7 linked regions of the Nothobranchius furzeri genome follow. The protein of the gene in region 3 purifies or fractionates together with the protein of the main gene of each other region. This does not show direct contact. Links are inferred from orthologs where the notes say so. Each region holds a gene or a part of one and is shown on either strand. Other genes may lie near its edges.

What was found.
Region 1: the proteins of cdc5l (region 3) and prpf8 fractionate together in Homo sapiens (co-fractionation; 5 studies listed by BioGRID and IntAct, with this or other methods). This does not show direct contact. The link is inferred for Nothobranchius furzeri from reciprocal best matches to the Homo sapiens genes CDC5L and PRPF8.
Region 2: the proteins of cdc5l (region 3) and rpa1 purify together in Homo sapiens (affinity purification with mass spectrometry; 3 studies listed by BioGRID, with this or other methods). This does not show direct contact. The link is inferred for Nothobranchius furzeri from reciprocal best matches to the Homo sapiens genes CDC5L and RPA1.
Region 4: the proteins of cdc5l (region 3) and snrpd1 purify together in Homo sapiens (affinity purification with mass spectrometry; 4 studies listed by BioGRID and IntAct, with this or other methods). This does not show direct contact. The link is inferred for Nothobranchius furzeri from reciprocal best matches to the Homo sapiens genes CDC5L and SNRPD1.
Region 5: the proteins of cdc5l (region 3) and top2a purify together in Homo sapiens (affinity purification with mass spectrometry; 3 studies listed by BioGRID, with this or other methods). This does not show direct contact. The link is inferred for Nothobranchius furzeri from reciprocal best matches to the Homo sapiens genes CDC5L and TOP2A.
Region 6: the proteins of cdc5l (region 3) and cwc15 purify together in Homo sapiens (affinity purification with mass spectrometry; 4 studies listed by BioGRID and IntAct, with this or other methods). This does not show direct contact. The link is inferred for Nothobranchius furzeri from reciprocal best matches to the Homo sapiens genes CDC5L and CWC15.
Region 7: the proteins of cdc5l (region 3) and snrpa purify together in Homo sapiens (affinity purification with mass spectrometry; 4 studies listed by BioGRID and IntAct, with this or other methods). This does not show direct contact. The link is inferred for Nothobranchius furzeri from reciprocal best matches to the Homo sapiens genes CDC5L and SNRPA.

Annotation. Positions count from the first base shown.
Region 1 is NC_091753.1:37,707,806-37,712,069, forward strand, and holds the start of prpf8 (pre-mRNA-processing-splicing factor 8), read right to left. Parts: upstream 2,801-4,264; 5' UTR 2,623-2,800; intron 2,108-2,622; 5' UTR 2,096-2,107; coding exon 1,942-2,095; intron 1,724-1,941; coding exon 1,555-1,723; intron 1,461-1,554; coding exon 1,296-1,460; intron 1,176-1,295; coding exon 957-1,175; intron 868-956; coding exon 655-867; intron 518-654; coding exon 392-517; intron 249-391; coding exon 143-248; intron 1-142. UniProt on the Homo sapiens protein: Plays a role in pre-mRNA splicing as core component of precatalytic, catalytic and postcatalytic spliceosomal complexes, both of the predominant U2-type spliceosome and the minor U12-type spliceosome.
Region 2 is NC_091753.1:47,659,194-47,663,428, reverse strand, and holds the start of rpa1 (replication protein A 70 kDa DNA-binding subunit), read right to left. Parts: upstream 2,801-4,235; 5' UTR 2,681-2,800; coding exon 2,651-2,680; intron 2,394-2,650; coding exon 2,346-2,393; intron 2,013-2,345; coding exon 1,934-2,012; intron 1,024-1,933; coding exon 915-1,023; intron 832-914; coding exon 743-831; intron 649-742; coding exon 559-648; intron 1-558. Other genes in the region: serpinf2b (serpin peptidase inhibitor, clade F (alpha-2 antiplasmin, pigment epithelium derived factor), member 2b), read right to left, coding at 3,648-3,997, 4,133-4,235. UniProt on the Homo sapiens protein: As part of the heterotrimeric replication protein A complex (RPA/RP-A), binds and stabilizes single-stranded DNA intermediates that form during DNA replication or upon DNA stress.
Region 3 is NC_091752.1:40,116,975-40,119,976, reverse strand, and holds part of cdc5l (cell division cycle 5-like protein), read right to left. Parts: intron 2,020-3,002; coding exon 1,854-2,019; intron 1,758-1,853; coding exon 1,593-1,757; intron 1,518-1,592; coding exon 1,437-1,517; intron 1,346-1,436; coding exon 1,094-1,345; intron 1-1,093.
Region 4 is NC_091759.1:18,894,640-18,898,381, reverse strand, and holds snrpd1 (small nuclear ribonucleoprotein Sm D1), read left to right. Parts: upstream 1-1,373; 5' UTR 1,374-1,497; coding exon 1,498-1,511; intron 1,512-2,056; coding exon 2,057-2,133; intron 2,134-2,466; coding exon 2,467-2,667; intron 2,668-2,940; coding exon 2,941-3,017; 3' UTR 3,018-3,242; downstream 3,243-3,742. Other genes in the region: gamma-glutamylcyclotransferase, read left to right, coding at 3,739-3,742. UniProt on the Homo sapiens protein: Plays a role in pre-mRNA splicing as a core component of the spliceosomal U1, U2, U4 and U5 small nuclear ribonucleoproteins (snRNPs), the building blocks of the spliceosome.
Region 5 is NC_091756.1:31,444,746-31,448,195, reverse strand, and holds the end of top2a (DNA topoisomerase 2-alpha), read left to right. Parts: coding exon 1-177; intron 178-265; coding exon 266-380; intron 381-1,240; coding exon 1,241-1,411; intron 1,412-1,628; coding exon 1,629-1,806; intron 1,807-1,886; coding exon 1,887-1,942; intron 1,943-2,042; coding exon 2,043-2,156; intron 2,157-2,240; coding exon 2,241-2,467; intron 2,468-2,558; coding exon 2,559-2,702; 3' UTR 2,703-2,950; downstream 2,951-3,450. UniProt on the Homo sapiens protein: Key decatenating enzyme that alters DNA topology by binding to two double-stranded DNA molecules, generating a double-stranded break in one of the strands, passing the intact strand through the broken strand, and religating the broken strand.
Region 6 is NC_091750.1:48,553,258-48,557,191, reverse strand, and holds cwc15 (protein CWC15 homolog), read right to left. Parts: upstream 2,436-3,934; 5' UTR 2,285-2,435; intron 2,200-2,284; exon of another isoform or gene 2,057-2,199; intron 1,955-2,056; 5' UTR 1,939-1,954; coding exon 1,808-1,938; intron 1,725-1,807; coding exon 1,612-1,724; intron 1,508-1,611; coding exon 1,407-1,507; intron 1,336-1,406; coding exon 1,225-1,335; intron 1,128-1,224; coding exon 979-1,127; intron 868-978; coding exon 738-867; 3' UTR 501-737; downstream 1-500. UniProt on the Homo sapiens protein: Involved in pre-mRNA splicing as component of the spliceosome. Component of the PRP19-CDC5L complex that forms an integral part of the spliceosome and is required for activating pre-mRNA splicing.
Region 7 is NC_091753.1:42,104,708-42,108,708, reverse strand, and holds snrpa (U1 small nuclear ribonucleoprotein A), read left to right. Parts: upstream 1-1,363; 5' UTR 1,364-1,490; intron 1,491-1,800; 5' UTR 1,801-1,808; coding exon 1,809-1,884; intron 1,885-1,995; coding exon 1,996-2,168; intron 2,169-2,256; coding exon 2,257-2,415; intron 2,416-2,554; coding exon 2,555-2,719; intron 2,720-2,795; coding exon 2,796-2,884; intron 2,885-3,040; coding exon 3,041-3,200; 3' UTR 3,201-3,501; downstream 3,502-4,001. UniProt on the Homo sapiens protein: Component of the spliceosomal U1 snRNP, which is essential for recognition of the pre-mRNA 5' splice-site and the subsequent assembly of the spliceosome. U1 snRNP is the first snRNP to interact with pre-mRNA.

The sequences.
Region 1 (4,264 bases), on a different chromosome or scaffold from region 3:
ATCACCATTCATTTTAATGTTCCTCTTGTTCTTACGCACAGGCAGGAGGACCAGTGCAAGTGCGCCTTTGTAAGAGGACTTAATCAGAAATAAAACAATATTCCCTTCTGCTCCCTCAGTAAGGATTGTCCACACCACAAACCTTGACAGAATGTCTGTGAGAAATGGGGTTGATCAGTGGGTCAAAGTAGAAAGCAGGAAGATCCGGGTCCTCCGTCTTGATAAACACCACATTCGGTGTGTGGTACCTGCAGAAAGCAAAAATCACTTGTCGGTCATGGCAGTTCTTCCATTTTGGGGAATTCAGTCATTTCATCTCTATTAATCGATTTATCCCAAATAAATGCATTAGTCAGTTTAAGCTTAAGGTCATCACTGGCTTGGTTCCTACCACGTGAGGTGAACGTGGTGTGGCAGGTTATTGTACAGGTAGGGGAAAGCGATCTTGTACTCCGTTCTGATTGGCTGTCGGATGATGATTTTATTGATGTCATTGAACTCGTTCCAGTCTTCATCCCTGAAGGTAAAAAGTAACCATCAGCCTAGTGAGAAAACACTCAGTACCTGTTTTTATTTGACTGTTTAAAGTGATACTGATTCACAAATATTTTTTCCACAGGCAGCATGCTTGATAAATAGATGGGAGCTTCTTACTGGAGGTTTATGTCTCTGACCAGCGGCTCAAACTTTGGTCCTCCTGGGATGGCCATGTTTAAGGCCTTTGAAGTGAAGAAGGCCTTCAGGTCAAACAGGTAAAAGTAGTTAAAGTCCACCAGGTCTGTCATTAGCTGATTGGCCAGACGATACAGCGTTGACATCATGGGCAGCGTGAACTGCCAGCGACGATACGTGGTTCCGTTCACAAACCTGAAAAACAGTTTAATGTTTTAATTATTCAAGTTGTGAAACAACCAAATACAGCAAGTGTTGACATAAAAAGAAAGAAAAATACCCACTTGGAACTGTCTTTGAGGGGCTGGTGTTCGTAGAACCAGTCCACCACAGGAGAGTCCTCCTCTGAATCAAGCTCCATTTGGATGGCCTCCAGAGGTTCCACATCAAGGATGTTATCAGCGTAGTCCAGCGGCGGCTCCTCATCATCGAATGGGGGGAAGCGCATCCTTTTGAAGTGTCGTCGATCACGCTTCTCACGACGCATCATGATCCACATGGTGCTGAAATTTATTAAGGGAATACCATTAATGAATTATACCAAAGTAACATCAATGTGCACGTTCTAATAAGATACTCAAGATTGGCTCAAAACTGAAAAGTAGGAAATGCCAAACACTTACCCCCACTGAGAAATGTAGACCGGCTCTATAACCCAAGGGATTTCGTTCACAAAGGAAATGGCTCCCGTGATGTGGTAGAGCACAGGCACGTCTCGGATTTGTTCCCAGGGCATTGGCATGTTTTCCAGCAGCTTCAGGACCGCGTGGGGCATGTACTTGAGTGCACTGTTCATCAGCAAATAATGCACAAGATAGAATTGGTATTACTGAAAGTATGAAAGCATTTTGCATCAACAAGAAAGAACAAATTATTTTTTACCCTAGGTAAACTCTTTTGTCGTGGCGGAACTTTCTGTTGGTCATGTCGCCATGGTCCCTAATGATTTTGCGAACATGTTCAGGAGGCATGTCTTCCTTCTGGGCGTCCACAAAGCCAAACTTTCTCTTTTCAGCATAACGCTTGGCCTGTAGCTGCTGCCATTTCCTTGCTGTATGATTAGATGCGGAGACAATTCAATTATAAATGATAAATATCTATAGCGCCTCTCAGAGGAAGGACTCGAAAGTGCTTTACATTCATCCATTCACACAGACATTCACTGACAAAGGCGATGATTTGGGGGGAATTTAGGAGATGATTTTATGATCATCTGCAAAGCACAGCCCATCAACCATTTGATTTGCTGAGCTGAAATTAAAAAGGTACCCTTTTCCTGTAGTTTTTCCTCCGTCATGTAGTCTGGAACTGGTGCAGGAGGAACAACCAGGGGAACACCTGGGGGGACAACCGGGGGTACAACAGGAGGCACACCCGGTGGCATCCCAGGAAGGACCCCTCTGTAGGGAAAGACTCCTGCCATGGTGCCTCACTGCTAAATACAAAAGATAAAAAACAATACACACAGGCTTATTAAATTAAAGTTAAACAACGCACTTTAACACAATCTGGCTTTCCGTTAAATCAAACTTAAGTCGTAAAATGTTTAAAGGGTTTGTATTTGAAAGTAAACTATGCCCGCTTACTTCAAAAATATAGTAATTTTTACTTATGAAAAACGAAAACACAACAAACCGGAGAACAGCATATTGTTTGCAATGTTAGCTCATCAATGGCGTACTAAGCGACAACACGCTAAACTTTCAAACCACCAGACTTCACGTAAATTATATCTAATTTTTGCACAGGTCAAGCATTAAAGATTTTTAAGAAAAATAGACTAAAACAGCGAGTCCATTGTCGGCTTTACAAATAATTTGTGAAAGTAATTCGATAACGAATTCCAGGCCCAGCGCGGAGAAGCTCGGCGCTGTTAGCATAGCGGCTAAAGGCTGCACGTTAACCAACAATAAAAGACTAACGAGTATAAAACATCTTACACCACGTTACCTTCGCTCCGACGGCACTTTATGTACTTCAAAATCACCCTCGATCCACTCACAAACAATAACTACAACATTTCTTCTTTTTAGTTGCCGTCTGGTGCTTTTTTCCGCGTTAATAAATTGAGATGGTCGTAGCTAAACCATCGAGCTAAACCAAACCACGACGGTAACCACACGATCAGCCATCAGCGCATCTCTGGTGTAATTCACAAAAGCACCTACGCTAGATATAACAGTATGGTTGCTTGTTGCTTTTCAAGAAGGTTACGTGAAATAATTTGCGCCAACGTTAGACATGCGTAAAGCAGCGATTTCCCGGATGATTTGGGGTAATCATTTCCGGTTCACTACCGACCCTTACAGGATCCTATCTCTCTCTCTCTCTCACACACACACACACACACACACACACACACACACACACACACACACACACACACACACACACACACACACACACACACACACACACACACACACACAGTTACATGCTACTATAAATATGGATAATATAATTTAACAGCTCCTATTCCATTTATTCTTGTAGATGTGTTATTATTATTATTATTATTATTATTATTATTATTACTTTTTTAAAATGATGACCCCACTGTATTGGCGGTCTGTTTTCTATTTTTAGTGTACTGTTGTCCCTCCATTTCCCCCTCCCTCTCTTTCCCTGTTTGTGTTGTATGTCTCTTTTCTCCCTGCCTGTCCACTCTGGTGCGTAGATTAATGTGGTCTAACATGCCACAAACATAATAAAGGCTATTGCACAACAAGAGCAATATCCCACATCCCTCTTGCCGTAGAGCAAAACTGCTCTGGCATCCAGTTCATCCATTCTGTCTGCTTCAACTACCTCGACTTCCAGGAGAACAATCAGGACAACCAGGAAAACAGAACTACCATGATCAAACAATAGTCATTAGGACAACCAGGAAAACAGAACTACCACGATCAAACAATAGTCATTAGGACAACCAGGAAAACAGAACTACCACGATCAAACAGACATCAAAGAGGTACGGTTGAGTTCTATGATGTCATAGATGTACTATTACATACAGCTTCTGGAACTCATTCACTTCAGAATCTCAGCAGGCAACAGATAGGTTTCCTGATTGTCTTCACCCAGTGCTTATTTATTTTAGCTTATTGATTGAATTCTTTAATCAGTAACTATCTTATTATATTGAAAATGAACAGAGCGGATAACACACGTGATTATAGAGATAATAATTTTATATTATTGTATTTCTACAGGAACTAAGTTATATTAGGGATGGGTACCTTTGACATTTGAATCGATCCGGTACTAATTCCCGGTACCTACGAATCGATACCAGTACTTAACGGTACCAATTTTCGATACTTTTGAGTGTTTATTATTTTAATTCTCTTTTATAATTAGATATATATATTTTTTTCTCAATTTATAACCATATTTGATAAATATCACGATAAATAACATACAACTGTTTGTATTTTAACAGCGCCCTTGTAGTTTTATCAGCTGATAATTAAACTGAATCAAACATCTTTACTGTGAACTAAATTTACTGTGTATCTTCATTCCTTTTACCGTCCTTTTTCAATTGATTTTTCCTACTATGAAGTAAGAATTTCCGAGGAGAAATCGAACG
Region 2 (4,235 bases), on a different chromosome or scaffold from region 3:
TTCAAAGTGTTCACTCGAGTCCACACACTTTGGCAACCGCTGCACTTCAGGTAATTAAACTCTGAGATCAAGCAGCACACACAGAGAAATGAACAATCCCTCCTGTTGATGAGGAAGATGGCTGCTGCAAGCCTTCACTCCCACATGGCAGATTCCAGGGATGAATGTCTGCTTCGTCACTCGCAGACACAACATAGATGTGGGAGTCTGCAGCTCTGCTACTGGTCTCAGAAATCTGAACGTAAAATTTGTATTTTATTGATCTAATCAACACTCTGACAGTTGGTTGAGTGATTGTCTTTCACAGGGAAAGAACAGGAAACTCCTCCCGATGCACCAACAGGAAGCATAGTTATGGAAACAAAGCACAGATTTTTGTTTCATAAGAGGATAAAAATAAGATTTCTGTACGCAAATGTCAAAATGTCATATAAACCTTAAGATTGCCTAAACCATCAGAAAGCTGCTGCCATCTAGTGGACATTTTGTTTTTTGTCTATGGTCAGCTTTTTCAGCAGAAAAATTAAATAAATATAAAAGACAAAAGCTTGAACTTACCGTCGTTCTTGTTTTGTGCCTGCAGTGGAGGTCTGACTTCGGGGCCTGGAGCTGCAGGGACGGGGCCAGACTGCTGGCCTTTATTCTGACCTACAAACAGAACATCAAGTTACCACAAGCCTATGGCAACACGATGACTCAATAATGAGTCACCTCTGTTTCTCTCACTGCCATTGAGTTTTACCATCAAAGTAAGGAGTAGGGTCTCCAATTTTACCACTGACTTCTTCAGCAGGTTTGATCAATTCGGTTTCCAAAATGATGACCACTCGGCTGCAATCAGATTTTACATCAATTCTTGTTCATTTTTGCTTTTTAAATAGCAAATTTTTATATTTGCTACGAAATCTGCATACCGTCCATCCTTCAGAATATTGGTCACATGCTTCTTCAGAATGCACACACAGTTTGGGGCGAGGATGTTTTCCTCAGCCAAGTAGTTCAACTGAGTGGAAAGCATAAAGGCTGCAAATGATGAGGGAAAATGTTTGGTTAGCTTTACGTTAACAAAAAAAAAAAAACTCACAATGTGCACCTAAACCCTAGCCTAGAGAACTAGAAAAACTGTAGGAGTATCTGAAGATTTATGCTCTGCGGGTTGGTCTAGCAAGAGTTGAGGAGTTTAGAACCACAGCGGTGACAAAGCAAAACAAAGATGGCATCGGCTCAGGAACGGCACTCTTTTTAAAAGGTGTTGGTATCAAATTTGGGCGACTTAGACTTGTGCAGCAGGTGGAGGTACCTCTTCGATAATGTATGGCAGACTGCCCTGTCGAGCGATTTCCGTTGCTGTCAATACGTCACGTTGTTTGTTGCTCTGATTGGTGCTAGCACTGTAGTATTGCAAGCAGAGACCGTTTAAAAAACAAAATGTAGATTCTGCCCCAAGACCGAGCTCAGTCTATGGGTTGTAGCCAGACTATATATCAACATAGCTTGCCAGGCTACCTAAAACCTTTAATGATTGCAAAATAAAACCACAAAACAAATATGCATTCCAGATGTCATTTAAATGTTAATCATGTTGTCGTTTAAAACGCAAATAGATGTGCTGCTCATCACACGATTCGTACACCAACAGTGCTTCAGGGTAAAATTTTCCCTGACAAAGTAAACAAAGGAGATAGTGCCAATTTTTTCCACTAACGAACAAATGTCAAGGTCACAGCTGCCCTGACCTTCTAATTATTTATTTACCAAGAACTATCATGCAGGAAAAATGAGATTTGAGTCTATGAAACTAGACAAATTAAAATTGCAAACGGAGTAGCTTCTCTCTAAAGATGCAGTCTCACTAACACTTTCCATTCAAAAATGATTAAATGCCAAACCCAGGGTCAGAGACTGGTTTGATCCAAATGTATATCATACTTACATGACAGTGTGTGGCGTCCATCACTCATCATCACCCGAAAGCGAGGTATCCCACTTCCTCCCTCTATTTTGCGAATGTTCTAAAAGTTAAAGAAAAAAATAATAAACTCTTGCAATTTAATCAAGAAATCTGCAAAAGCATTTAACTAATGCCTGAGTTACTGATTTGTTGGAATTTGCTGAAGCAGCGTTCTGAAAAAGAGTGTGGCGTTTAATGCCTCTTCTAAAATATATAACGCACAAAAAGCAGCTTCACAAGTTTACACAGCTTTCAATACGTCATGACGGTTAAACAAAGAGGCCGCATGTGATGCGGGCCTTAACCGTGTCAGAACTAAAAACGAAGCCCAAAAGTAAACATGCGTTTAAGAGCATGATACGTTTAAATGGTATTTCACGTTTTCGTTATTTACCACCAGCTGAAGAACTGCGTCATTCCAACCGGAGCCATTAGCTAAAGCCTGCAAACAAAAACAATTAACTTAATGTAACACAGCTGTTTTGTTTTAACAGTAGAAGCATTCATTTTTTACAAAAGATTTCTAAACACATGTACGCTACTTCAAATTATGTTTCAATTTACACCAGCTTCAGTCAATATTAGTTTTTAAGTTTCCATTAACCTCAATGTAAAAAATGTCGCGCGAATGCAAACACATAGTAGGAAAATGCCTACAAAAACACGTTAGCATTTTAGTTGAACTGACATTAACTTTACCTCAATCGCGCCTTCTGAAAGTTTAGGCATGTCTGACGATTTTGCGTTGAAACTGAAGATTACTTTAGCAACTGCTAGACAGACGGTTTTCTACAACTATCACTGCAAACAGCTTGAAGTTTATGCCTGTGGCGCCAACGGCTCAGGCATCGCGCGCTCAATTTGTCGAGTTCCGTGTTGTCGGGTTCCGTTTCCGGTAACAGATCTGACTTCAGTTTCCAAAATCTGTCAGAACAGCAAGGCTTAGAGGTAAATTCTCACTAAACTGACCGCAGACCAGCACTGAATTTCTCAGCGCAAAACTGAGTGACGTTTGTTGCGATGCGTTCAATGACATTTGAAAACAGGAAACACCCGATTTTGTGTTTTCAGCGATTTTTAAAAAACACGGAATGTTAGTATTATGCACAGTTTTACTCGTCGCATAATAACTATATTTGGAGGGGGAAAATTATATTCTAAGAAATTAACTAATTTTACCGTAAGTCATATTACAATAATATTGTAACTCCTAAAATGTGTCACATGGCAAGATTTGAAAAGTATTTTTAAATAACCATTTGATTTAAATGTCTCAGCAAATTAATTCATATCAATACTGATTTAGATAAATTGAATTGATTTAAGTACACAAGAAAACAAATTAAAATATTTTAAGAAAATGCTCAGTCATGCAGTAATGCTCAAACATATGATATTTTAGACTTTACATGTTGACACATTCCACATGTGGTGGAAAATTAAACCATCAAGTAACATGACAGGGACTTTTTTGTGAATTTAATGTTATCGTTTAATTTCTTGACCATCACATCTTATACAATACAGTCATGTAAAATGAATATTCCTCTTAAAATGACTATTGGGCTTTAAAGCATAATTATTTCCTTATGAAACAAACAAAACGTTTTTATTTTCACACATATTTTGATCCAGACTAGTCTGTACAACTGCTAACTCCTAGCTTTCTCTCAAGAAATGGACAGATTTGTATTTCCTATTTAGGACCCCCAAATGAGCTCATGTGATCTTTGTCATATGAGAAACCCATTTTATCTTTGCTTCCAAACTGTCCTTTCTGCAGGATAGGGGCTCCAGGATTAGGATTGTTGATGACACCCATGAAGATTGGTATTTGAGTTACGTCATCCATAAGCACAAAAAAGAAGGGCTTAGTGAGGTGGAAAACTGGAATTGCTGCCCGTGAGATAACTATGTTGGTGGCTGCAGCAGCTTCTGCACCATCCTCATTTATTTCCATGCTTGACTTGTGCATCACACTGGACACCAGCAGGGGGCCGTCTGCAATATCAGCCAAGTTAGGATTCAGGAACATCTCCCCGAGGCCTGAAAAATATAAAAAATAAAAATTACATTTTGAGGCTCAGTTAAGAAAATAACAGTGGTTTTCCCAAATTTTTACTTAAAATTGACATTTATTAAAATGTATCTGCAACATTAATAAAACATCTAAAACTTTACCTAGTTTGGTAAGAACCTCCTGTAACTCTTGAGAATACTCCAGTTTGAATTTTGGAACTTTGACCTGAACGGCCGTCTCTTTGGGCAGGCGTTCGTATAAGTC
Region 3 (3,002 bases):
CTGCTGGACATCCATCCTTCTCATCATCCTGTACACATAACGAAACTCACTAAACTACAGAGAAGTAACAATCCATCACAAATTGCTCCAATATCTAAAGTTTTGCCATTATTTCTGTCTTTCACTGTTTACTGTCCAACATGACTAGGATTGGACACCGCTTGAATCCGAGCGGTTTTGAATCCGGTTCCTATCGATTCCCGATTCTGACAGGATCTAAAAACATCTAAACTTTAGCATGAATTTTTATTCTGTGAACAATAACATCACCTTCATTCAGACAAAAACATGTTTTCAAGAAAAAGACTTGCAGCACAACCAGTGTTTGTTTCCGACCACAACCAAAGCCTGGGAACGATTTTTTATTATATTTATTGTCCGTATCGACTCCTGGTGGCCAGAACCCAGCGTCAGTCATCCACCACAGAGAAAGGCTGCTCTAGCATGATGACTTTAAATATTTTAAAGGTTATTGCTCAGCCGTCTGACGAGTGTGAGTGGCTGCATTTGACTGTTGATGCTCCGTGTGCGTTTTTAATTCTGCAGTGAGCCGAACTCACCTCACACCGCCCGCAGTTTGTTCTTTAAAACTTGTATTATATCCACCATGTTGACGCATTTTAACGAGCTTCCTCCGCGCCATCTATTTACATTTTTGCCACTGTGCGCCTGTGCAGTGTGAGGGAGGGGGGGGGGGGGGACGCAATGCTGTTCTCAAGGTCTATGCGGGCTGCAGAGAAGGAGCGAAAGGTGGTGTGATCGGCTTTGAAAGGCGTTGATTAGATCAGAGATCGCCCACAGATTCTTCCAGTCAGCAGCCTGGGAATCGAAACTAGAAATCGAAATAAAGCAGTTTGAATGATTCTGGAAAAACTGACCGTCCCGGTTCTAACAGATGCTCAACGCCCAACCCTACACATGACATCATCGCTTGTAGACTGTCCGAGGCTGTCTTTGGTTGTGAGACGGCTCAAAAAGCTGTCACAGAGCCGGTCACACTGGGCAGCAACACCGTTTTTGTTACAATTCTGCCCACGATGAGGGATTTGCCTAAGATGGCCGAAAATGGTTTAACAGAAGAGGTGTGTATGACCTGCTCCATCTCCTCTGTGCTGACTGGCTTGTAGGAGTGGGTTTCCAGGTAGGAGATGTGTGAGGCGTTGTTGGACGTAGACGTGGGGCCTTTGGTTTTACCACGCTGCAGCTGATTGGCCATGTTGACTGATGGATGGTGGAGGCAGTCGTGGTGCAGCATGGTGATCATTTCCTGTTTGATGAGCTCCTCTGCGATCTGGAGGTCAGAGAGTGGCTCCATGGAGGCGGGACGGAGGACAGACTCATTTACCTGCAGAGATGTAATGATGCAGAGGTAAATAAAGGCTTGTCGGGTCTTATTAGTGCTACGTGCCACAGGGCACTCTGCATTCGGGTCGAACCTCAGTAGGTCTGGGGAGACTCCTCTGTACTGCCGTGTGCCGTAGCTTCAGCTCCTTCTCCCGTTCTGCATCCCGCTGAGCCTGAAAATGCACGCGAGAATACAGTAAACACCACTGATGCCATTATAAACTACATCAGAATGAATGTGTGCCTACCTGTTTGCGTGCCTCCACATCTGCAGAGTCCTCGATATATCCCGTCTCCATCTCCGTTTCTTCAAGTTCTTTTTCTGCGTTTTCAGGAAGAACAATTTCAAAGTCGTTCTTAGGGACAGGAAGTGACATCAGCCCTTGCCTTAGCTGCTGCAGGCTTTCCTTGTGCTGTTAAAGAAAAGAAGAAGTGATTATAAACATAATTAAATATTTGGTTTTGGATTTATTGATTCAATGTGACACTTAAATGACTTGTGTTTTTACTAGATGTTTGGTGAATGTTGAGTCAGCCAGTTGCTCCTCGGTGTTTATGTTGAGTTTGTCTCTCAGCGGCGTCCGGCCGGGCGTCAAACCTGGAGTACCACGTGGAGTCATCCCACCCCCAGCTAGAGGCGTCATCCCATCTGAGGCCTGACCGGGTCCAGGAGTTCTGCAGGAGATCACAAGACCATAAATGTTGACCTTTTTAGTGGATTTGAGACAATTAAGTCAGCAGAAACATTAAGAGCAAAGTGAGATCAGTCTAGTTTAAAGGTGCATTATGTAGAAATGAAGTCAAAATGGCATCCTGTGGTAAAATGTAGTTACTGCAACCACTTTAAACAACTCTGGAGCTTTTTGCCAGCCATCATCATATTACAATTGTCGGTGCTGCAGTAATAGCTCGCAGGAGACACGACACCCCCACCCTCACTGATGTAGTTACATCCAGGGTTTCCCTTACATAGGCGTAGCTGTGGCGGCCCGCCACGGCTGAAATCCCACCACCACGCCTACAAGATCCCAAGTTTTTTTTTTTTTGCGCTGTTTCCCACAGAAACAGCGGGAACTACTATGTTGTCACTTGTGATCACAGCCAGCGGGCGGCAAGGGGGAGCGGGCAGGGCAAGGTGAAATTACAGCATAAGTTACTGAGTTTAAAATTAGAAAGGTAGCAGTGGATATAATGCCTTTTGGTTTACATGTTTCAATAGCATTAAGATAAACGAGTGTTGACGATCTTGACAGGGTTTCCTCCAGTGCTTATTAGGCCAGATTCTCCCCCCACCAGGCTAAGCATCACTTATTCATGTAAAATTTATTTATTTTTTCATGTCTGACTTTAACTGCATCTAATACTGTATTACGGCGTGAGCGCAACAGCGACAACTTAAGATCGATGCGTGAGCAGCCTGAGAGGTCGGGTGTTTTCATCTGAACTCTTAAAACCTCCAGCAGGCTACGCTGCACTATTGACGCGTTAGCGCGCGGCGCTTAGCGATGTGACATGTCTCGGAGAAAGCGTAAAAACACGTTGGACGCTTCTTCTGAAGCGGGAAAATAACACCTCTTCTTAAACAGAGCATGACGTTGCCTCGACTCGTTCACCCTCTGCCGAGCCGGTGTCGATAACATTGACCCAGCACAGCCACT
Region 4 (3,742 bases), on a different chromosome or scaffold from region 3:
ACAAGTCGACGAAATTCATTTTATCATCTCTGAGCTGTTTACCTTCATTTTCAGTCACTTTAGGTTTATACGCTTTTAGCATATCGGCGTTCACACTACAGCATCGTTTGACTCGTATTTATTAGCTGCTTTAGAAATAAATCATTTATCATCACTTCCTTATTATAGTGAGGATCTTCTTTTGGTGTGTGTGCCTTCTTTAGTTTCTATTTGTTAACATTGTTTTTTAAACACGCTAAATCAAAGTTTAAAAGCCTAAAACATTTCATGGCGCAGCGGCCCGACGTTTAACCCCTTTATCTGAATGTTCACGTCCAGCTGACCTTTGATTTTATTTTGTTGGACGTGTGACTTCCTGTTTGAGCCCCGCTGTAACGTTTACAGGAGAATAAAACACGACTGCTGATCTGAAGATCGATTACTCAGTTGCTATGGTTAAGGTGGAGAGAAACCCCAAAAGGACATTATCTGTTTCCACATGAAAGATTTCCAGGAACACGTGCTCACCTGCTGTAATATTTCATGACTTCTGTTTTAAACCACTGCATAATTAGATTTTCTTTTCTAGAGTTCAACAGCAGATGCACTGAGTCGAGACTTTTTCTGCTCCAGAATATTAATAACGTGTTGCGTCAATCATGTGCAGGCAACACACAGAGAGGATGACGGTTTTATTTATTTTTATTATTATTAGAAGTGGAATAATGCTGAGTTTAATGGCCTTGTGCCGTTTTTCTTTTTGTGCTTCACACTTTATGATTTATTGGTCTCAGCCTACATCTTTGGAATAAAAAAAAGCACTCTCATTGATTATACTTGATACATTCCCAGCAGGTCTCAAGAAGACAGATTTGATGTGTGGCCAAATCTCTTAAGTATCGGTGCAGAGTTTACTCTTAATAAAATGAGCTGAAAGTGCTGCTTTGTGGTTTTATTCAACTGCGACAAGTTCTCTGAAGTTGTCTCCTGATCTGTTGAATGAATTAGGTCTTGATCAGTTAGGGTTAATTGTTGTGGATATTTTACCTTTTTTCATCTTCCAGATTTTGATAAATCAGTAAAAATGTAAATTTTACTACGACTTTAACACATGTTGCACATAAACACCGTTTTGACCTTTTGGTTGCAAATTCTGCAGATCACGAATCCAGCAGTAGGTAACGGTAGTGATCTTCCTAAATATTGATCATTTAGGGATCTTTGTTTTGGATATTTGACCTTTTAACTGCCAGATTCCAATAAATTAGTAGTAAAATAAAGATTGTGGATTTTAACACTACTGTAAAACATGTTGCACAGAAAAATAAAACAAAAGTGTTAGAACGGATCACAATTCCACCAGTAGATGGCGGTAATTACACCCCCTCGTCTTTGTTGTCGCCTTTTAGTGACGTCACATCCCTGAACGTTTCGAATACAACAGCGGCCTGTGTTTTCACTCGATCGCTGTAATTTTTGTCTTCGGTGGAGGATTTTTCTCTACTGTTTTCCATCATCATGAAACTAGTCAGGTAGGCGGCAGCGGGAGGTCCCGGATTAACCGGAGAATTAACGTAAACTGATCAAATGAAAGTGATGTGGCCGGATGGATTGGGATTTGATTAAACGGTGATGAGGCGGGAAGTGGAAAAATGTAATGGATCCTGAGCGACGTTACGGCGACCGCTGAGGGTTTAAAACACGTTCCTACGCACAGTTTTAATTATCAACATAGATGAACGTCTACTTTAAGTACATTTCTATTTCAATAAGTAAAAATATTAGGCTAGACGTTAACTCATTCAACCGTTGTAGCATTAGCTTGTCAATCAACTAAAGCGGCTCAAAATGGGGTTTTAACATAATTTGTTAGAGTTCATTTTGTAAATATTTAGTTTAGCTGTTAAACTGGTGGATAATCAGTGTTTTTATTGTTTCAAACGCTTTAAAAGTCACCTAATAGCCATCGGTGGCTAACTAGATAGCTAAAGCTAAGCTACTATCTAGCCTCTGCGAGAAATGTCCCAATTACGTTGTGATGTTTTCACTCAGTCATCGTGTGCAATGATGCCCACAGGTTTTTGATGAAGCTCAGCCATGAAACCGTAACCATTGAGCTGAAAAATGGCACCCAGGTTCACGGCACCATCACAGGTGAGCTCATAAAGGTGGTCAGATAAGCCAGGAGTCAGCTGAAGCTCTTTAATTTCAATACTAATGACATATATTTGTATGCATTAAGTAGATTAATACCCACAGCTGTGCTTTCATCCTCATAGTCAGACTTTAGTACAGATAAATCTGCACAATGTATGTTTTTGTATTATTTAATCCTATTTGATGGGATTTTTTTATGTTTAACAAACCCTAGACAAGCACACACACAACCTGCAAATTAAAATATTTTCTAATCTGTAAAATTAATCCTAAACTCAAGTGCCAGATGTACTTATGGCTGGTGTTTCATCCCTCCTCTCTGTTTTTCAGGTGTTGATGTGAGCATGAACACTCACCTGAAGGCGGTAAAAATGACCCTAAAAAACAGGGAGCCCACTCAGCTGGAGTCGCTGAGTATCCGCGGCAACAATATTCGCTACTTCATCCTCCCAGACAGCCTCCCTCTGGACACCTTGCTGGTTGACATCGAGCCAAAGATCAAGTCCAAGAAGAGAGAAGCAGGTGAGAAAGGTGAAAATGCATAAGATATGTTGAGTTGAATTTTATCTTAAGGTGTTTTTTTTAGAAAGTGAATCTGAATTCTCCTTTGCGTGAACAAAAAGGTTTTCACAGTGATGTAACTGGTGTGTTTGCACAGGTTTCTGCATGGGTTTATATTAAAAGAACTAAATTGTAACATTAACTGTACGACATAATTTAAGGAGTGGTTTAAAGGACCAGATGCTAAATGAGCAATATGGTGTTTGTGACACTTGTGCTGATGCTGCTCATCTGTCTCCTCAGTGGCTGGACGGGGACGAGGCAGGGGACGGGGACGTGGGAGAGGAAGGGGACGGGGACGAGGTGGACCAAGGAGATGATCGCAAGGCTGTTCTGTTGATTCCTAACACTTCACTGTTTGTACAGGATTTTTTTTTTCCTTTGCTTCATTAAAGCAGAAACGTTTTGTGAATTTCTGTGTGCTTTTTAGTTGGACTTTTTTTTTTGTACATTAAACTTCTGGTTAAGAGGACAAATTACTCTGACTTCTTTGTGTTGGTTTTTAATACTGAATAAAGTGTCAGCACATAAACTAGCATCATTAACTACTGTGTTGTCCCAATCAGATCCCAATGCTACTGGTGTACTAGCCAGCCCCACGCTTCCTTGTGTATAAAGTTACACAGATGAGTCTGGCAGGCCAGGCTCTAAAATAAAAATGTATTTTATGAAATTATTATTTAGTCATCAGACCTTTATCCCACTACAGTTGACAAAATAAAGCAAAACTGTTTATTTAGTCAACTTTTAGGTGCAGTTTCTCACATCAGTTGTGATAATTGGTAAAACTGCACATGTAGGTGGGGGAACGTTGTTTTACATTACACCGGGGACCAAAGTCACCGCTAGATGGCGGTGTAGGAAAAGTGACCTGGTAGATGGTAGCCTATAGGATGGCTTGCCGGGCTAACGTAGAGGTTCGTGGAATGACGTAAATCATTGCCCAAAGCTAGTTATTTTATATTAAACGATCATCTTTTAACATATTCGTCACATGTCGAAGGCACCAGGTTCTTTTCGAGCAGGAGTATTTTTATCACAATGT
Region 5 (3,450 bases), on a different chromosome or scaffold from region 3:
CCTGTGAAGGCTGCTGGAAAAGGAAAAGGTGTGAAAGTGAAAACGGAGACTCTGCCCACGCCGCAGGGCCGCCGCATTGTTCCTCGCATCACCAGCGCTATGAAAGCTGAGGCCAACAAGAAGGCTTGTGTGAGGAGAGGAGAGAAGCAGGAAGGCAAGCGAGGCAAGAAGGCCAAGGTCTGTCCCACCACACAAAGCGCTGCTATTTCTCCTCTGTGTCTGATCCGTGTTCATCACTTTTAACCTTTGTTTTCCCCTAATGCAGAGCGACAGTTTAATAGTGAAGATGGAGTTTGACGAGGACATGGAGAACATTTCTCCAGTGGAGGAAACTGGTTTGGTTGCACGGCTGGGCAAGAAAACAAATGCCAAGGAGAAAGGTGGGAATGACTCACGGTGCAGAGAACTTGTAGTTTTACAATAAACTCATTTCTTATTAGTGAATATTTACTGGCAGATAAAGATTGCTTAATAATTTCACTTGTTAGTAAACCGTTTTAAAGTCTGAAGGAAGATGTAAGGCTTGGCGTGGAAGGGTAGATTTCACAAGTTCTCACTAATAAGTTCTGGTTTTTATTCGTGCTGAACTTGGTTCTGACTCCTCCGGTCCAGATTACATCGATATCCAAAAAGGATCAAACAATACTTTTAAGAGATAATGTGCATTTTTGCCGTTAATCTCTGGAAACTTCCATCGAAACATTGAAAATGAATAAAATGATGTCCCGTCATTGAAAAAAATTGGCAGCTTTGTAACATTTAACCATAAAAATCGGGTCTAGAGTACACCAGGTGTGAGTCTAACGTCTCTGAGGCAGGGCGTGTTTTCTTCTGGCCGGCTCGGGTTCACTGCCTGTTGATGTCACACTAGATGATTGGCTGAACGTTCGACTTACAGAAGTTAGGTTACCATGTTCAAAAACATTTAGGCAGTAAGAAACTCTAATTTAATAACAAACTGCTAAACTCTTTCCAAAACTGATGTGAGGGAACAGAATAGAAAGAGATGCCATATGTTTTGGCTGAGCAGTAATGCCATAGTTTAACATCATCAGCAGGCACATGAACCCGAGCAGATCCAGAAACTACTAGCAACGGTCACAGTGATATGAAACGACAGTAAATGTATGCACTGCCCCCTAGCGCCAGGAAACTACACACTGACGCTTTCAGTTTTCAGCCCAATATGACATGAAGACACCTAAAACCTGAACTCTTAAGAGCCACCTGTTTCCTGCAGCTTCAAAGACCAGCAAGCAGACTACTCTCCAGTTTAAGGCGGTGCCCAAGAAGTCTAAGAAGAATCCATGGTCCGATGAGTCCGAAGGTTTTTCTGACAGCGAGATGGATGCTGATGATGTTGAGGAGGAGGTTGTTGTCCCCAGAGAGAAGGTGGAACGCAGAACTAAAGGTAAGTCGGCATTATTACACTGCAGAATAAGTCACAGATGAACACCAGATACTCGTTCTAAACATTTATAGATCAAGGGCTAATGTTTCTGGTTTATTAACCTTGTATGGGATTGTCTCCTGGTTATCTTGGATTCTTTCTCTACAAGAATAGTACATTTATTTCAAATACTTGTTAAACAATTGTTTCTGTGATTTTTATTTTTTTTTTTTTTTAGCTCCAGTGAAGTACAGCATGTCGGACAGTGAGGATGAGTTTGATGACGGGGAGAAGAAAGCCCCTAAACAGAGAGCTGTTATCAGCGACGATGATTCGTCCTTTAACGTAGGGCTCAGCGCCGCGTCGGACAGCGACAAGGACTCTCCAGCTCCGCCTCCCAAAGCTCCAAAGCCCACGTTAGTGTACATCAATGGAAGGGTTGGGATTTAGATGGTTTTCTTTAACTTGTCTTACATTTTGTGAATTTTCTTCACAGGAAAAAGGAGACCAAGAGCAAATCGGTATCTAAACAAACCAAAGCCACGTCTAGTTGTAAGTGTTTGTTTGACACGGGTGTTGGCGTGTCTGAGACGGGTGTTAGCTTAAAGTCAGGTGATTTATTAACCAACCTAACCTTATAAACATTTTACAGCTCATTCTGATGATCCTGCTCCCAAGGCTCCAGCTCAGTCTAAAACCAAAGAGGCTGCACCTAAGAAAGCTGCTGTTGCTAAGAAACCAGCTGCTTCCAAGAAGAAGGCGGCAGGTAAACTAGTTGGCTCATTATGGTTTATAAAAGACACATTCAGGTTTCCTAGTTGCAGTGCTAGTAACTTCCCCCCGCTCCCAGATGTGAAGCAGCCGTCCATCGTTGATGCTCTGACCAAGCGCAAGCCTGCATCCAAACCCGCTGCTGCCTCAAAGCTGCCCTCCTTTGACTCTGACGACTCAGAGGCTGAGTTAAAAGCTCCAAAAGCGAAACCTTTAAAACGAAAGCAGGTGGTCAACGAAGACTCGGACAGCGATTCGGGTAACCTCATGTCGAGGCTCAAAACCAAAACAAATGCCGGCCCCAAGGTTTGTTCCTATTATACCGTAAGGTTTTCATTTCTGCGGTTTTCTTTGTATATTTATACGTTAACACCTGAATATGTTTTGTTTTTTTAAGAAACCTAAGAAGTGGGATGAGGATGACAGCTTCCTGGTTTCGGACCAGGAAATGGCCTCTCCAGTTGCTGCTGCACCCCGAGACAAAGCGGCACGCGCTCGCAAACCCGTCAACTATAACATCGATTCAGACTCTGATTTTTAATGTGAGTCTTTAAAAGTTTTTTGAGTTACCTGGGTAGTTTTGTTAGACCACTCCTACTTGAAGAAGCCTCAGTAGGACAGTCTGTTATTCAATTCACTTGTTGTATGTTGAATGTTCTTAACGAGTTTTTGTCTTAAAATCCATCCAGTGTTTTAATGACTGCAATAATCCTGTTGTTTCCGTTGCCATGTAAATATTTCAGTGGCTTTTCTTTAACTGTTTTTGAAATAAAATGTGTGTTCTTTTAATTGTGTGAGCAGCTTTTCTTTTGTCCGTAAAACAGGTAGACTAGTGGAGAATAATGTACAACTTAAAGGTACACTTGGCATTTAGCTTGCTTTAGCACCCCCTAGTGTCTATTTAGTAGAAGCAAAAGTGAAACTTCTTTCCTTGCTTTGCGTTTGTCTTTTAAACACAAATCTAACAGCTGAAACGCCTCCCCCACCTTCATTAGTGTCCACAGGAGTGGTTCAACCTCAGATAAGCTGTATTCATGGTCTAAAACATACCGGAAGCAGACTGCAATGCGGGGCGTGTCGGCTCCACTTTACTAATTTCAAAGGACTGGACCAGCACTCTGAAGTTGCAAGTGTGATACTCTTGCTACAGCGGGTGGTGGTGGTCTGAGTGACATTTCATTAACCCTGTAAAAGTTAATTTTGGCACATACTGGCTCAAGAAAATGATATAAAAATATGAGAAAGTTGCCTAATATGGCTTTAAGACGATCACCACGTTGTTAGAATAC
Region 6 (3,934 bases), on a different chromosome or scaffold from region 3:
TCATCACTAAATGAAACAAATCAGCTGTGTTCATGATCTAAACCATGCAGGAAACTTGCTGGAACTAGACTGCAGCGCCAGGTATGTCAGCTCAAGTTCTTCTAAGTTCAACAGATCAGACCAGCAACTGTGAAGCTGCAAGTGGGATATTTTGGCCACAGGGGGCGATAGGGGCTGGGTGGCATTTCATTAACACTGTGAAGGGTTATTTTAGCACATACTGGCTCAAGAAAATTATCTAAAAATATGAACAAGTTACAAAGTATCTTTTAACCCTCGCCACATCCTTGAACTTTTGCAAAACCCATTACCTTTTGCACAAAAAAAGCACTAGGGAGTGGAGGGTTAAATGAAAAGCAACACTCTTCATACCCATTTCTGTGCTGATTTTAGGCACCCCACCCCTAGCATTTTTTATAAAACTTAACTTTTTAAGTTAATTTACCCTTTAAAATTAAAAAATGCACAATCTGTTATTTCTGTGAAATTATGCAAAGTAATTCAAGGGAAAAAAGTCAATGTTTATTCAAATAATGAAAAATGCATGACAGAAATACTGAAATCACATTCTGAAATGTGCTTCAAACTTTCATGATTTACGCAAACAGCAACTGACCTGCAGACAGTACGGTTTCCAATTAGTTAGACTGTAAATAAATGCCAGCTGCAATTAAAATGCTTGAAACTAAAACATTTTCAATTAAAAAAGATCAAATGAAACACACACACAAAGTCCTCTACTTTACATATTTCTCCATAAATTTCTTGTGGAACTCAGAGCGCAGCGTGTCGTTGACAAAACGTTTCTCTTTCCGCGCCTCATCCACTCCTTTGGCGCAGTTTTTGAACACTACGTCATCATCCCACCTAGAAGTACATCAGAATTATTAGTGGTGGTGAAGGAATATATTTGTTTTTCCAAATGCAAACAAACAAAAAACCAACATTCTTGCTGTAACAAGTGAACATAAGAAATACCTTCTCTTGACTCTGAATGTGTTCTGAGTTTGGCTCTGTTGCTGTTGTTGCTGCTGCTGCTGTTGCTGTCCTGCTAAATTTATCAATGGATTTCCACTCAAAATATTTTCCATTCGAATCCTCTCTTCCTCTGCCTTCTGCTCTCTTTCCTAAATAACAAAAGAAAAGCACACGGAGGTTAAGCCATCCTCTATAACATCACTTTTCATTTATAGCCAAAGCAAACACAAACTTAAAACTCTTTACTTTGCGTTCTTGCTCTTCAGCTCGCTCTTTCTTAATTTTTTCAAGTTCAGCCAGCAGGGCTGCAGTGTCGTCATCATCACTTTCTTCATCTGAGTTCTCGTCTTCGTCATCCTGTAATGTAAAAATGGATTAATAACTTTATCCAGTGTAAGTCTGGGATGTATTGCAATGTAAATCCTTACATCAGTGAGAGGGTCATCGGCATCAAGGTTGGCTGCTGGGATCTGATCCAGTCTGGGCCTTTTTGAAGATGATGATGATGAAGAAGATGATGTGGTGTGCTCTGAAGAAATAAAATCAACACAATACAGATTAAAGGAACTATGCCAGAAACCGTTGCATACATCCTTTTTGGATCTAATCTTTATTATGAGTAGAAAAATCCACCTCTTGGTCCCCTCTCTCTGGTCTTCTCACGAGCAGCTACACGCTCCCTCTCCTCCAGCTCTCGGCGAAAATCACGGGCACGCACTTCCTCAGGGGCATCCTGGGTAGGCTGCCTTTTAATTGAGATGAAAGAAACACAGTTTAAGTAGTTCGAATAAATATTTAAGGTTGAGAAACTGGAACCCACTGTTCTGACCTGTATTTGATCTTGGTGTGACCTGGAAGATCCCGACTGGAATACTGCTTAGAAAGAGCACTCAAATCCCCTTCTCCTTTTCCTCTACCCCCTCTCGCCGGCTCAAATGTTGGTCTTGCAGCTGTAGTCATCTTTGATGGCCGTGCTCTGGCAAAACGTAAAGCAGAAAATAACTGACCAATTCATAAATTACAATAAGTAATTTTAGATATACATCATAATAAGTCTAATGTTAATATGAGTTAAAACCTTTAACGATCAGTTTCCTCCTAAATGTTGTTTAAAACACAAGTTAGCTTGATAGCTTCCACCGCTAATCAGTTGCTAACAGGCTAACGTGGGTGACAATGCAATTTAAGGAACATTTCCTATTTTTAAAACCCAATGCAAGATAATTACGAGAGTAAACATGTTTGAAACACAAAGCTTAAAATAAACAACACAATTTAAATACGTTTTTAAAGCAACAACACTTACGAAGCTGCTTCCAAAAGTGAAAAGGAAACGTTCCTGTACACAACGGTGCGTCACTTCCGGAACTAGACGCGTTCAGGAACAATCGGAGAAAAATCGTGCATATTTTGACCGGCATGACAGGACTCCAAGAACCTATTTTACTTGTATTGTTTACGAGGTCGGCTGCGCAGTGGTTAGAGCTGTTGCCTTGGGTTCACTTCCCAGCCTGAGATCTTTCTGCATGGAGTTTGCATGTTCTCCCTGTGCATGCGTGGGTTCTCTCCGGGTACTCCGGCTTCCTCCCACAGTCCTTAGGTGTGTGTGTGTGTGTGTGTGTGTGTGTGTGTGTGTGTGCGTGTGTGTGTGTGTGTGTGTGTGTGTGTGCGTGCATGATTGTTTGTCCTGTGTGTCTCTGTGTTGCCCTGCGATGGACTGGCTTTCTGTCCAGGGTATATCCCGCCTGATTGCCCATTGACCGCTGGAGATAGGCACCAGCCCACCGCAACCCTACGTGGACAAAGCGGGTTCAGACAATGGATGGATGGATGGATGTTTACAAGGTCAATAAAATGTAGTGTTCAAATTAAGAAAACCACAAATCTTGTTTACTACAGTATGATAATTACAGACCAATCTTAGTGCTTCCCCAGTTTTCTAAAGTCCCTGTTGCCCTTTTCAAGCTGGATCTAACCTCCATCTGTCTGCAGATTCCTGCACCCGACTCCTGTTGAAGATCTCAGCTACATTTATGCTGCTCCCTTGTTTTCTCCATTAATTTATTGTTTAAAACCGACCGTAGTCTGTGAACTGATTCTGTAAGTCGTGGGTTAGACACTTACCTCACAACATGACACCATAGTGACTGGTATAATTACGCAATCCTTCGATGAAAGAAGGTCACAGTTTAGTCTTGTATGCGATCATGGTTCAGGTTTGCATTTCATTATTTTCTGACCTCCTGCTATGACATTTTTTTTACCTGAAGCTCATAAATATTCCTGAAAAGTTGAATAAACAGAAATCTTCAGTGCAATGCACCGATATGAAACTTTGGGGCTGATACCAATATCTGATATATCGCTGTTATGGCCGATAACCGATGTTTGCCAATACCGATATACTGACATTAATGCTTCTAAGATCAACAGATTTGTAAAGATTAAAGCTGAATTGACGTTATGTACACACACCACACATGTTTACACTGTTAGATGATTGCAATCACTGTCACATGACTAAACAATTACACATCACCTCCCTCACCCTCTGAAACAGATAAACAAATGAAAACAAGATGGAAAAATTATCAGTTAATATTGGCCCAGTTTAATGTATCGGACCAATACCGATATTAATGCCAATATATTGTGCATCCCTATTTTGAACCCTAACCTACTGACAAAGTTTGTTTGAAAGTTGTCCTCATTCAGATAAATACAAAGATGAAGAGATAAAGTGAAAATATTGCTGACTTCCCTTACCTTTACATATCTGACCTCATAACATGTGATAAGAATGAACGCTCAGACGGTGACTTTGAAAAACCCACGGACCAAAGTGTAAATATTACAGTTTAAAGAGGTGTTAAGTTACACCAGAGTGTGCAACAGTCGTAGGAAATAATGGCCACGTTTTCTTTGAGCAGGAATGATATCGCAACGGTCTGATAAG
Region 7 (4,001 bases), on a different chromosome or scaffold from region 3:
TTTACTAGGGAACATATTTGTTCCTCAGTAGGTACTTGGGAGAAGGCTTCACTTTAAGCTAGACAAAAGCAGTAGGTAATGGTTAAGTACCTAGTAGGTACAGATTAGTACCTTCTAAGTTGGGAGAAGGCTTCACTTTCCATCATCTTGCGATGGACGGATGCCGACAATGGACAAAAAAGTGACAGACGTGTGAAGTCAAGATGAAACAGTGATGTTAAATCACTGTGATGTTGCAAATTATCTGCATTGTTCATGAAGTTTACAAAAAAAAAAAGTCCACAGGCACTACATTCATTTGGGATTTGTTCCTTAATGCGTTCAAAGATTAGTCCCTGAATAAAACTGTTGGGTTTTCACCAGTATGTATTGGTTAACTACCTATTCTTCCCTGCTTCATTACTCATTACTCCCTAAGTCGTTCCCTAGTTACGAAGCATAATTTTACGTACCTTATTGTAAAGTTACTGTTATTCTTCTTAGGTTGTCTACTCTGCCTTTTTTTGACGTCATGTTTTTCCAGTATTTCTGATTTACTGTTCAATTCAATTCAAAAATACTTTATTAATCCCAGGGGGAAACTGATTGCTGTAGTATCTCAGAATAATAATAATAATCAAGTCATCAAAGAGTTATTGTATATTACAATGGCTGTTGGCAGGAAGGATCTCCAGTAGTGTTGCAGCGAAACTGAAGAAGCCTCTGACTGAAGACACTCTTCCGTTGTCGGACAGTCTTGTGAAGAGAATGCTCACGGTTGTCCATAATTTTCTTGATTCTCTGGAGAATCCTTCTTTGCATTATCTCCTCCAGTGGTTCAGAAAGTGCCGAAACTCTGACTGAGTCCTTGAAAGGGCTTGGAGTTCCTCCATCTTGTTGGCCAGTGATCTCACATTGCCCATTATGATCGATGGGAGAGATGGTTTGAATTTCCTCTTTCTCTGTCTCCGTTTTGCTCCCGCTCTGCACCCACGCTTCTTGCGTTTTAGTTAATTTGGGATTTGTCGCGTCAGTTGAGGTATTATTTCAGCCTTTTCAATGTTAAACAGCTGCTCCCGATTGTAAACCAGCTTGTTGCCATGGTTACGCATCATAACAAATGCTCAAAAAGTGAAAAAACCTAAACAATAGCAGCAAAAGTCCTCCAAGCTTCACAGCACCAGAAACAGAAAAGTAAAGTGTCCAAAAAAATACCGTTTTTCTTGAGAAACTAGAAGAAAAAATGTCCAAGAAAAGGCTAAACTTACATATAGTTAACAGAGCTACTCCAACATGCAGCCACCCAGAGCAGCGTAAATAAGAAGAAAAACCATTTTAGTTTTAGCCATTGTAAGTTAAATGGTGTTTTGAGTTTCGCTATTTTGATTTACACCGTGTGGTGGCGGTAATTCACCAGAACGGTTTGGTAACCAACAAATAAGACAAAGAAGAAGAATTTCTTCCTCTTGTTTTCTGGGGAAAAAAGTCTCGGAGCTTTCATTCAATTTCAGGTTGGTACTACGTCAACATCTAACGCGTTTTACATGGTTAAGTGCATTTTAACTGTTGATTTAAAATATTTTTGACAAGCTTAAACGATTTGAGGTAACGTTGGAACTAGTAGAAGTATTTAGGCAGATTAATGACGCTAAATGCTGTTAGTTAGCTTTTAGCTAACACGCTGTTGTTGCCTTCCGCCATGTTTGTTACCATTGCGTTTAGATGCTGGATTTTTGAATGAAATTGGACTTGAAACTGCGTGAAAATAAGCACATGTTTGAGTCTTTATTTTATTTTTAGCTATTTTATTTATTCTCCTAGCCTTAAACATGACCACTCCAGCAGAGGTGCGCCCCAATCACACGATCTACATCAACAACCTAAACGAGAAGATAAAGAAAGATGGTGAGTTTCGCATCATTTTCTTTCCTTTTCTTTGTTTATTTCACGCACAATTAATGCAAAGTCTCCTTTATTATTGTTATTGATTATTTGTTGTTTGTGTGTCTCCCTCAGAGCTGAAGAAGTCCCTTTATGCCATCTTCTCTCAGTTTGGGCAAATTTTGGACATTTTGGTCGCACGAAACCTGAAGATGAAGGGTCAGGCGTTCGTTATCTTTAAAGAGATTAACAGCGCTTCTAATGCATTAAGGTCCATGCAGGGTTTTCCTTTCTATGATAAACCTATGGTACGTCTATTAAACATGTTTAATAATGCACAATTTAGACATTTCTGATGGAAGTACACGTGTGACTCAAATATATACTTTCTTGCAGCGAATCCAGTACTCTAAAATGGATTCGGATATTATAGCTAAGATGAAGGGGACTTTTGTGGAGCGTGACCGTAAAAAAGAAAAGAAGAAGCCCAAACCTGAATCTACAGGAAGTAAAAAAAATGCTGCAGCGATTGCTGGGGTACCTTCTGCAATCCCAGTGAGTGCACTAGGTGTTTTTTACAATCATGGTTAAACAATCTAGATATTTGTTAGTGAAGTAACGGCAGGTTTTAGATGCATTAAGAGTTAAAAGCTCAATTAACATGAATAGAAACTAAACGTTTGTCATTCTTTAGGGAATGCCACCAATGAACCAGGCTCCTCGCATGATGCACATTCCAGGCCAGCCACCTTACATGCCCCCTCCTGGAATGATGCCTCCTCCTGGGATGGCTCCAGGCCAGATTCCTCCTGGTGGGATTGCTCCTGGTCAGATGATGCCAGGACAGATGCCTCAGCAGGTAGCTTGTGTTCTTTTTCCTCACAGAACGTTTTGTTTCCTGTCCTGGTAGTTTAATCCTTACTCTCTTCCCACAGGTTTCAGAAAATCCACCCAACCACATTCTCTTTCTCACCAACCTGCCAGAGGAGACGAACGAACTCATGCTGTCCATGCTCTTCAACCAGTCAGTACTCATTTTCTAGTCATACATTTAAACAGATGCGTAAAAATGGATCAACTTTGACTGTTTTGTGATGCTAACATTGCAAATAATCTGAGAATTTAATTCTCTCAAACTGTTTTTTCTGTAATTGTAACTGAGCTGCTCTGTGCGTTAAAGGTTTCCCGGCTTCAAAGAGGTGCGTCTTGTTCCTGGTCGTCACGACATCGCCTTTGTGGAGTTTGAAAACGAGGTGCAGGCTGGCGCGGCACGAGATGCTCTGCAGGGCTTTAAGATCACTCAGACGAACGCCATGAAGATTTCTTTTGCCAAGAAATAACGCATCTTCCACCAGGTCCTGATTTAATTTGCATACATGTCCGTACATGTAAGTATCTGAGTCAAGTTGCTGTTAAGAAAGTTGGAGTGAAAAACTGGGAGCTCTAACTTTGTGCAATGGTTTGGCTTTAATCTGTAATGCTTGCGCAACTTGGTGTCCACTTCTCTGTTTTTCTGTTTCATAGTTTAAATTTTTTATTATAAACTGTTAAAGCATTGCACCCAGTGTCTGGTCCACCAGACATTGTACCTGGAGCTATTCTTTTTTTTTTATCTTGATTAAAATTTGAATTGGTAAAACACTAGACTGTTCTTTCTTTCGCTGTGTGTGTGTGTGTGTGTGTGTGTGTGTGTGTGTGTGTGTGTGTGTGTGTGTGTGTGTGTGTGTGTGTGTGTGTGTGTGTGTGTGTGTGTGTGTGTGTGTGTGTGTGTGTGTGTGTGTGTGTGTGTGTGTGTGTGTGTGTGTGTGTGTGTGTGTGTGAACAGGTTTGAGCATAAAGGATAACTCAACATTTCCTGTCTGAAATGTCAAAGAAAGGAATTGAGTTTAGAGTTGCATTTGCTTAATCAAGCCAAGCCAACTTTGTTTATAAAGCACTTTAAAAACAGCCCTCGCTGACCAAAGTGCTGAACATAAAAACATAAAAGCATAAAATAGAATACAGTGTAAGGTTAAAAGCACACTAAAATAAAACACAAATCAAATAGAAATCCAAAACGTGTTGAAAGCCAAGCTAAAAAGGTGGGTCTTTAAAGATGATTTAAAAGTTTCCAGTGAGGAGGCCTTTCTAAGATGTGCCGG